2 linked regions of the Schizosaccharomyces pombe genome follow. The protein of the gene in region 2 binds, or shares a complex with, the protein of the main gene of each other region. Each region holds a gene or a part of one and is shown on either strand. Other genes may lie near its edges. The genes, in order: bqt4 and sad1. A codon is read from its position in the direction of its gene.

Region 1 (4,397 bases), 540 kb from region 2:
CATATAAGCCGCAAACCCAACTGTTGTTCCTATGATACTGAGAATAAACCATGAATAACCAACATTCCATATTCTCCACAACTTGGACCAACGGCTTTGATCAATTACGTTTTCTTCATTTTGCTCGTTAATTATTTCATTAACTCTGTCTTTAAAAGTTGTCAGTAAATAGTAGTCAAATGCTTTCGAAGCTTGAAAAACCATACCGTCCGTTTCAAAATTATCAATACCGGAACCTTCTCTATTAAAAAAATATTTTTTTTTCCTTTCATTTTCATCCAAAGATCGACGTTCCGCCTGATCAAAAGAACTTGAGGAATCTGCTCTCTTTTGAGAGGACATTGATGATATAATCTAATGTGGAGAATATCAGAATTGAAGAAAATGCTCTTGTTTTTCTCCTTTGTATATCAAAAATTGATCACTAGCATTTATTATTGTATGGTAGGCAAATCGCAAGCATTAATTGCACTTTTCCAAAACTTTGTCCTCAACCTTGAATATAGTATGTTAAGGGTGTAAACCGAGCGAATTTTATTACTTATGAAGTAAGAAATATTGAAGTTGGAATATAAACAATGCACATTTGTAATATCTTCATAGTAAAAGAAGATTCTATTTTCGACTCTCTTTAGTTTTCTATAGTAGTTAGTTATTCGTTAGTCGTACAAATGTTACTTTTTGCTATTTTGCTAGATAAGTTTAAAATAGGAAAATTTAATGAAACAAAACTAAAGCAAAGTACAGTAATCAATATAACTTGGAAAAATCACATTCCGCAATAAATTGGAAACAATACACTTCCCAGGACTAAAACAACTTCATATAAGTGATAAAACATTAAGATAACCAAATAGTGCACTAGAATCAATCGGAAATTAAGTTATTTCAGCCCTAAATCAATCTGAAGCAGGTCTCCAATCCCAAATCATAATCGAAAGTAAGTAAAAAGTCATCAAGTCAATTGATTTTCACATTAAACACGAAAAACTACATCAACAAATTAAAGCACATATGTCACATTAAATTCTAACATCCAGTAGTTTCAAAATGGTAAAGGGCCCTATTAAATTAAAATAGAAAAGGTAAAATTGCGCTGCGAAAGATAGTTAGTAAATGATTTTAAATCCAGGGAAAAGACCAATTATCACAATCATTGAATACTTACCCTACACCCAAACCAATAGCAATACCACCAAGTGCTCTGACTTTCCGCTTTTCATAGTAAACTTCGCTTTCCAGTTTGGTGATACGCGACCTTTTCACAGGTACCATAGCATTGTAATCCTCGTTTTCCTCAAAATCCTCTCTACTTCTCTTCTTTGACTTTGGAGAGGATCGAATGGAAGATTTCAAAGTATCCCCAATGCTCTTTTCCAAATTCTCGAACTTCTTTTCCAACTTTCCGACAGGTTTTCTTACTTGGCTTGCAACACCAGTTACACCTTTGTTAACTTGATTAGCGACACCATTCATGCCTTTGTTGACCTGGCTTGCAACACCATTCACGCCCTTGTTAACTTGACTGGCAACATCGGTCATGCCTCTGTTAACTTGACTGGCAACGTCAGTCATGCCCTTATTGACACTTGACCTAATCTTTCCAAGAAGAGAAGGCTTGATAGGTGTCTTAATCTTTCTATCTTGGATATCAGATGTTTTTTCCTCCTCCTCAGAGGGTTGATCTTTAGAGGTTGATCCTTTTGCTTTATCATCCGAAGAAGAGGGTTGACCTACTTTTTCAGTAGAACTACCGCCTTCCTGCTTCTTGATTTCTGGCTCTTTCTTCTCAGACTTAATTTCATCCTTCGTTTCATTCTCTTCGGAATGTATTTCCTTGTCTTCTTCTTTATTATCATGTTGGAGGATTGTCTTTTTGGAATTCTCCAGATGTTCAGCAAGACGCTGACGTGTGCGCCTAGCAACAGAAGTGGTAGTGGCAGATGTCGAAGATTCAGGTTCCCCCTCAGATGTCTCTGATTTCTGCGCAGTGGGGCGTGAAGGAGTCGCATAAGTTGAAGGAGTGGAGGATGCCTCTAACAAGGCGTTAATAAACGGGGTCATGCTGTAGTCTTTGGCAAGAGCCAAGGCATCTGCAGGAGGCACCCATAGTCCAGCAACACGTTTGTCTTCAATTGGGTTTAAATTATCACGAATCCATCTCATTTCCAAGTCTTCTTCTTCTTGGGTAGCCTTAGGGAAAGCTGAACGAAACCTAATCGGGTTTAGATTTTTAGAAAAAGATATGAAAAAACGCTTACATTGACGTAGCACTAATGCTTGAATCCTTTGCCATCCTCATAAGAAAGTGAGGTCTATATTTATATACATCATTAGTATTTTTCCAAAAACAACACTGCAAAAAAAAGATAATTACACTTTAGATTCCGGATTTGTACACTTGAGACGAACAAAAGTAGCTGGTCCATCAGGAAATTCTATTACCTGAGCGCGACACTTTGGGATTAATGGTGTATCTGCTATATTAGTTTCACGTAATTTCGGGAAGCGCGTACGGTCAAGTGTATCGTCTTTATAGAGAGGGTTTCTAATATCAATTAGTCGTTTTCTTTAAATATACGAACCTTTCAGCAGGTAAAGACCTGCTTTTCTCATTCTCAGTCATGGTATTCAATTAAGGGGAAAGGTAACAATTAATCGCCGTCGTCGACGTTTGTATAATTCCTCTCTTACAACGTTTATGTAATAGCTGATTGTATAGAGCAATAGTGGTGCTACCTTAAATGATAATATCGAGTGATGCTAGGACGTACTTCGTTATAAACTATGTGCAAAGCAAGAATTACTAATTCTTTAAACACCTCGAGGTCATGTATAGTCGATGCTTATGCTGAAATGTAATGTTAATATTGTTTATTTGAAGATTCAATGTGGTTCCAATTTTTTACGCTTTTCTGTTGGGATACAAACTTAAGGAAAATATTCACACGCGGGCAGCACGCTGCCAAATGTTAAATATAAGAAGCGCTGATCATTTATTTCTGCTAGAAGTTTGTTTTGTCAATCGATCAGCCAGGTCGGCAAAAACGATGCGGCAGTAAGAAGCGTTCTTCATGCTACTGGTTGTAATAGTATTTGCAGAAAAAACCAATCGTTTCGCTGATGCAGCTATCTACGGTTCTAAAGATATACTGTATTTTATCGTAAACAATTCGCTTCGTTTACTCTACCTACATTGCGATTTCGCAATGATGGCTTCTCAACCAACTCATTAATGCTGATGGTATTAAATCTATTGTGAATTACACGGTAATTGTTTGTATATTTTTAAAGATGTCCATGTCAGCAGAAAGCAGCATTAAGACGGTTCATAATACAATATAAATGACCCGAATCCGCCTACTTCTGCTTCCCATACACACATATGCTACAGATGGTAAAATAAATTGTCGCGACTCCTTGACTTGGCCAAATTTTCATTTCAAATGTTTTTTCCTATCTGCTGTTTTTTTGATTGTTCAACTGAATCTGCAATTATTAAAGAGAAAGCAACACAATCTTTTTACTTAACATTGTATTGCTAAACTAAGCTCGATTTGAGAAACCAAAATTTCCTCGTAAAAGCAGTCCTATCTACACTGAACAATAACTGTCAAAAGTTGAATCCCTTGAGCATCAGTAATCTCATGGCCTTCCAATAAAATCATAGCGAATTTTGACGTAACAATGATACAAAACCATTTTTGGTTTACTGGGAATGAAAGAAGATTTGTCTTCACACTCGTTGATTTTGACTAGTATTGAGTCTCAATCACTTCTTGTCGATATCTCTTTTCACTTACAAGATAATAGTTGTAGGGATATAAGCAAGTTTGCGAAGGGCTTATTTCCTTCTAAATAATGTCATATTGATACTAAAATCGTTTTCATTTTTTAATGCTTAGGCTATTGAAACGAAATATTCAAATCTCTAAACGCATTGTTTTCACCATATTAAAACAAAAGGCATTTAAAGGTAATCATCCTTGTGTACCGTCGGTTTGTACCATTACTTACTCTCGTTTTCATTGTTTACCCGATACCCTTAAAAGTTTACTTCCAATGAGCTCAAAAACCACACTCTCAATGTTACCGCAAGTTAATATCGGTGCGAATTCATTCTCTGCCGAAACACCAGTCGACTTAAAAAAAGAAAATGAGACTGAGTTAGCTAATATCAGTGGACCTCACAAAAAAAGTACTTCTACGTCTACACGAAAGAGGGCACGTAGCAGTAAAAAGAAAGCGACAGATTCTGTTTCCGATAAAATTGATGAGTCTGTTGCGTCCTATGATTCTTCAACTCATCTTAGGCGATCGTCGAGATCAAAAAAACCGGTCAACTACAATTCCTCGTCAGAATCCGAATCGGAGGAGCAAATTAGTAAAGCTACTAA
Region 2 (5,709 bases):
CAACACAAACTACCTGTGCACTATTTGCAGCATAGGGACAATTAACAAATTCAATAATTTTGATTTACGAAGGATGTCTTTCACGTTTGAAAGCATTATGTAAATTTATCGACTGCATTAAAAAATATAACAATTTGGTTGACTACACTGTATTTAATGATAGTGCAGTTTAATCATTGAGAAAGCCCGGTCAGTTTGTTTACCACTGTATAACTAACAGTTTAAAAGCCCTTAAAAAAAGACAACTTAATGAAACTAGATACTTAAATTACTAAAAGCTGTAAGGGAATTGAAGTTTCAACTGTCTTTGTGCTTCAATTGCAGTGTAAAAAGTTACGCTGTTTTAGCAAAGCACAAAAGACAAATTTTGCAATACTCAAAGCTATTTAACTATAAATTTTTTAAATTTTGAAAATGTTAATAAGTATATCTATTTGCATTTACGAAATTGCCTATTTTAAATCGGTAAAGACCAAAACCCTTTTTAGAAACGTATTAAAGATATGTTAGGAAGGCTGGCAAGTGATTCAATTGCATGACCAAGGCTGGATTAAGACAACACGTATTGCTAAAATACTTGTATCTAATTATGAAATTTCCACAATACTATCTGAACTAATAACGAGTATTGTTTACTTCTTGTTTGCTCCAACAACGAACTAGAAATACCGAAATAGGGGTCGTCAAGAAGTTTCTATTTTAATAATTATCAATAATGCACTTAAATACTTGGACCTAAATGAATAATAATATATATGAAGGCTGATATATGTATAACGATAAAGAACGAGCGGATGGCTGGATACTTATTTTCTCGTCAGCGTGACGCATTTTAAACATCGCTATAGTAGTCATCTAAAGTTATATATACATATTAAAAGTACACTTGCAACCAAATGTACTTTTTCAGAGATTTCTTTTGGCCAAACAAACTAATGCTCTAAATTGAGTAAACACGAAAAAGAATTGGATTTATAGTGCACCTTTCATTCTAGTACCGCAGTGTTACAGAATTATATCACGCAGTATGAAGAAGCGCACTACTCAAGCGAAAAAATCAGGGCAAAACACTAATATTCGCGACGTGTTTCCACATGTAGTTCGAAGTAATTCAAGTCAATCCCACATAGGGAAGAAAGTGAGTTCTGAACAGTCGCCTACACCCGATGTTACAATTACAACCAAAACCTTGGATGAGAGAATTAAAGAAGACGATGAGCTTTCAAAAGAGGTAGAAGAGGCTTGGAATCAAATTATGGCTGAAAGGATTAGTGAACCAATACATTGTGAAAATATAACCAAAGTAGAGTTCATTTTGCATCACTTTGACACTACGGCAAGATATGGACCATATCTTGGTATGACAAGGATGCAACGCTGGAAACGTGCAAAAAACTTCAATTTAAATCCTCCAGAAACAGTGGGAAAGATATTGATGCTCGAGGAAGCAGATGAGGAAAATCGAAAAAGAGAATCGCTCTTTTATGATCTTCAAACCATTCCAGGCTAGATTATTTTTATATCTTACATTTTGTAGGTCTTTAAGATGAATCTTGACCCGTATTCTCTGCAGTACTTTCGGCTTTCTCACCTAAAGAAGGTATTGGTTGTTCGTCTGCATTGGGTACAGTCCCATGAACTCGAACTTGATACAAGCATGTGTAATTGGGATTTCCCCAGTTGCTTTTTATTTTTAAGATCACATTCTGTATCGGTTCAGCGACAATATAATTGGAGGATTCAAACGAAAAAGTTTGAATAGAGTCTTCCGTTAAAGAATATCTCGCCTTTCCCAACAATACAAACATCTTGCTGGACATTCCCTGAACCCACAACTCAAAGTCCTTGGGAGCGCTAGAAAGATCATGAGCAATCTTGTGCTGAACGTGCTCTATTGTGACATTGGTTACATATACAGGGCGTGATAGGGAAATTCCTAATTGTCCCTCTGAACCTTGAAAGCTCCAACACATCGCAACTGCGTTGTTGGGAGTTAATGCTATGCTAGGTTCGTGTCCTCTAACAACGAGCGAATCAAAGAAATAGGAGGTAAATCGTGGTATGAATGCAGATGGTCGTCTCACATAGCGTTTTGAGGTTAAGGCAGGTAGTACTTCCGCTCCTGTTGAGAGCAATGCAAAATTCGGCATGGAAACCGGATCGGTCAAGTATTTTCGAACCGTAGATTCGATGAAGAACTTCCAATCGTCATTTAGTTCAACTTCAAATGGGACCGATGATTTGTAATTAGACATCTCCTCCTTTAGCGACTGTTTTAATTGCTCTACTTTTTGTTGTAAAATCTTGTCAAATTCCTTTTTTGTAATTAAATCTCCCGTCGAATAATCGAATTCCTCATTGCCGCCAACTTTAGAAGGTGAATCTGTGAAGTCTTTAATAATATCTGGCTTTAAACTTGTTTTGGTGTCATTGGATGCAGGAGGAATGTTTGGTACGGGCGAATTAGATGGTTGGGAATTATCTGATGAAAATGATCTTGAGTAAAATTCTTGACCCTTGTGAAGTAGAGTAATTATTAGGAGAGTCGAAAAGAGAGTGATACCGAACCAAAGTAATGGTTTAAATTTTGAGGAATAAAATTGAGATTTCCTTGTAGATCTTTGATTCATCGGGTACCTAAAACTGGCATTTGTTGCGGTGGTATCCTCGTTCAAGCTATACCCTTCATCATCACTTTCCTCGTCGATGCTGTTTTCGTATTCTTCATTGACAAACTCTTCATCATCTCCATCTGATTCATAGAATACATTCGTCGAAGCTTCGTGTCCATTTTTCACTACGTTTTCAAATTCTTCGTTATCAGATTCCTCTTGCTCGTATCGAATATTAGAGTGGTAAGCCTGTTCGAAATTGGGAGCTGGAAATCTTTGTTTAGGAGTAATTGATTCAATGGACACCCTGGTAGGAGGGGACCTTATCTTTGTATAGCGAAGTTTATGCATTTTGGAGGCCAAATCAGCCGTATTTTGATGAATCTGAGCAGAGTTCGCTCCTAACGTCGACCAAGCTGGATGAGCGCCATTTTGACGCTCTCTTTTCCCTCCAACCGGTGTATTAGTAAACATTGATGTATAAAAGGCTATTTGAAAATTAAAAGAAAAATATACAAACGAATCAGTGATAAATAAATATGTAAAAAGAGAGACAAAAATTGAAAAGAGAGTATTGGAAGGCGAGAATTTGAATTAGTGTTCGTATTCAAAAAAGTGAAGCTTAAGTAGGATTCTGTAATTGAATGCCTTTTTGATCGCTTTATGCGAATGTATAAATTATTAATAACAGACGAATTATCGTTGACGCCTTTTTTATGTGAAAACAGATACCTATACACACAATGTATGTAATTGATCCTACCCTAGCAGAGTATACCTTTCTTGAGGTATCATTCCAATTCCAATACTGGAAAATTCCTTCACAAACAATAAAGGATACAATACCAAGATAAACACACTAGAAATGGACGGTACGAAGATTGACTGCTGAGAAAGAGTTTTGTTGTGTTTACGGTAAGTGTATACACTAAGAATTTACTACGTTATATATCGCTGACAATCGATAAATATTCATAACATAATATATGGAAATAAAGCGAGAAATATTTGATGAATAAAAATGGTAGACTGTTAATACAAGAGGGTTTGAACGCTGATGAATTAAGTACTTGAAGCTGATAGGATCCAAATCCAGCAATTCGCGTGTTTATATAAAAAACAGGTTTGGTAATTTAGGAGTTTTCGTGAGAGCATGGCAAAACTGTTCAGTGAAGTGAGAAGTTTGATGGATTCAAGTAATAAAGCAGCCTTATAAAATAGCAAGTTCCATACCTATTAATATTTTTACCACTATTAATATTACTTCGTTTGCATTTAGATTTCCAATTTTTAAAGAAAAAGAACAAGAAACCGATCATATGCTACCAAATTTATTTGAAAAATCAAAAGTATTCAGTATCGTTTCACTTTTAATCAGTTAAGTAAACAGATTTGGCATTTTGCTGTAGTAGTAGTTCAACGACTTCAATTTCTAGGCATTGAAAAAACGTTTTTGCGTTTGTTAGGGATACATTTCATCGACACGAGAATCTACGCCAATGATTTTCAAAAGCAAATTTCAACAATGATCAATTGAGTAAATAAACATTTAATAAACCTTTAATAAACCTTTCTACTGTTTAATACAACATTGCCGCTGAATATTATACTTTATAGTTCGTCAAAGTAGGATTTTCGCTTTTCATCATATAGCCAATGAAATTCGGGCATTCAGTCGCTTTCAAATTGCTTGAATATTGTGCCGATTGCGAAGGTAGCAGCAATACGCAACCATAAATTGTCTAACTAACTGCTTGTTTTTGCATACTTAGGATCCCATTTTACTGCGACACTGATACGGTCCTGTCAAAAAAAAATGAAACGAAAAATTTTCATGTTTTGAGCTTATTCATCGCTTGGTTTCACTACATTCAACAGAAACTGCACAATGTTGTATATAAGGAATCAAAGACAAGCTATGCGTAACTTTGAAAACGTCAGTATTTCAACAAGGACGAAATTTATGGCACGTTTAACTTCCAATTAGCCCGTATTGTTTTTTTGGCTAGCGAAAGTAATGAATTGAGGCAATGTCGAGTAGTATTGCACAACCTAGTATTTGATCCTGTGCGCTACATAATGAATCCTAATAAATAAAACCTCAATAATCAATCTGCTCAACCAACCGTCAAAAAAGGTTCAATCATTTCAATTACTCAACGTGGCGCCAAGTATGTCTCATGATTGTGTATTCATCTCACGACTTCATTTCATTTCTGTACCTTATACACTCACTCAGCTACTTCAGGACTAGGTGTTGCGACACAAACGAGAAACCATGCGCTGGACATCATTCATGGGCCGAAACCGATGTTAGCTTATTGAGCAACCCTAAAATCCGGGAAAACTTGTGATCCATCAAAGTAGATAGAGCTGACAATGTGGAATAACTCATATGAAAATTCAGACATTGTTTGCCGTTTACGATATCTCTCGCTATGTGGAATTGATCCGTTCGGTAAGTAAAGCAGTGCAACGTGAATAGCAAATTATCACCTGTGGGTGGTGAGTAAATAAACAAACGCCTAAGAATGAAAAAAATTTTTGCAGGTGGTTCAAGTCAGGATGCTATAATGCAACATCTTGTGAATCAACGTCGCATATCGTAATGGCTACAGCAAGGAAATCCCGGAGGAGATAGTTTTATTAACCAACGTGTCGGACCGCAATATTAACGCCGAAGAGCAGTTGTATGAGTATGTTCCTAAACGGTAATAGTAAAATTACTTTATTCACCGATTTGTAACAAAGCACACTAGTTATGGTAGGTTCACGAGCCGCTATTAGGTTACAAGCTACTGTCAGGTTAGAGCCATTGTAAGGTTATAAGTTACAGTTGGGTTAGAGCTTGTTGTAAGGTTAAAACCAGTGAACCATAGTGTAGTAAGAGATGTTAATATGTTAGAGCCATTGCTAGTGTGTAGCTAAATTCGCCCTAGGCACGTTGCTCATGTAGAGGAAGACACGAAACACGGATGAGATTCAATTGTTCTACACTTAATTGCATACAATCTTTAATAATACACTAATTTGAATAAAAAATAATTAAAATACATTTTACAATTATTTTATTACACGTGCACGCCAGACATAAGGG

What was found.
Region 1: the proteins of sad1 (region 2) and bqt4 are in contact, whole or in part, in a crystal structure (PDB 6A6W), measured with the Schizosaccharomyces pombe proteins. Residues at the interface, in NP_595947.2 of Schizosaccharomyces pombe: Asp89 (codon at 2,822), Asn90 (codon at 2,819), Glu92 (codon at 2,813), Phe93 (codon at 2,810), Glu94 (codon at 2,807), Val96 (codon at 2,801), Val97 (codon at 2,798), Lys98 (codon at 2,795), Asn99 (codon at 2,792), Gly100 (codon at 2,789); in NP_596166.1 of Schizosaccharomyces pombe: Arg33 (codon at 2,454), Gln35 (codon at 2,448), Ile37 (codon at 2,442), Glu38 (codon at 2,439), Phe39 (codon at 2,436), Phe46 (codon at 2,415), Arg48 (codon at 2,409), Lys50 (codon at 2,403), Phe61 (codon at 2,308), Met63 (codon at 2,302), Ser75 (codon at 2,266), Arg78 (codon at 2,211), Arg107 (codon at 2,124), Val108 (codon at 2,121), Ala109 (codon at 2,118).

Annotation. Positions count from the first base shown.
Region 1 is NC_003423.3:2,839,086-2,843,482, reverse strand, and holds bqt4 (integral nuclear inner membrane protein Bqt4), read right to left. Parts: upstream 2,650-4,397; 5' UTR 2,627-2,649; coding exon 2,586-2,626; intron 2,549-2,585; coding exon 2,517-2,548; intron 2,478-2,516; coding exon 2,378-2,477; exon of another isoform or gene 2,316-2,377; coding exon 2,262-2,315; exon of another isoform or gene 2,216-2,261; coding exon 1,169-2,215; exon of another isoform or gene 1,156-1,168; intron 1,097-1,155; coding exon 1,072-1,096; 3' UTR 649-1,071; downstream 1-648. Other genes in the region: SPOM_SPBC19C7.11 (ClC chloride channel), read right to left, coding at 1-149, 207-342; endonuclease Uve1, read left to right, coding at 3,898-4,397. UniProt on the Schizosaccharomyces pombe protein: Connects telomeres to the nuclear envelop (NE) during both vegetative growth and meiosis. This connection ensures clustering of telomeres to the spindle pole body (SPB) when cells enter meiotic prophase.
Region 2 is NC_003423.3:2,301,559-2,307,267, reverse strand, and holds sad1 (protein Sad1), read right to left. Parts: upstream 3,503-5,709; 5' UTR 3,087-3,502; coding exon 1,542-3,086; 3' UTR 1,511-1,541; coding exon of another isoform or gene 1,028-1,510; 3' UTR 607-1,027; downstream 1-606. Other genes in the region: DNA polymerase delta subunit Cdm1, read left to right, coding at 1,028-1,510.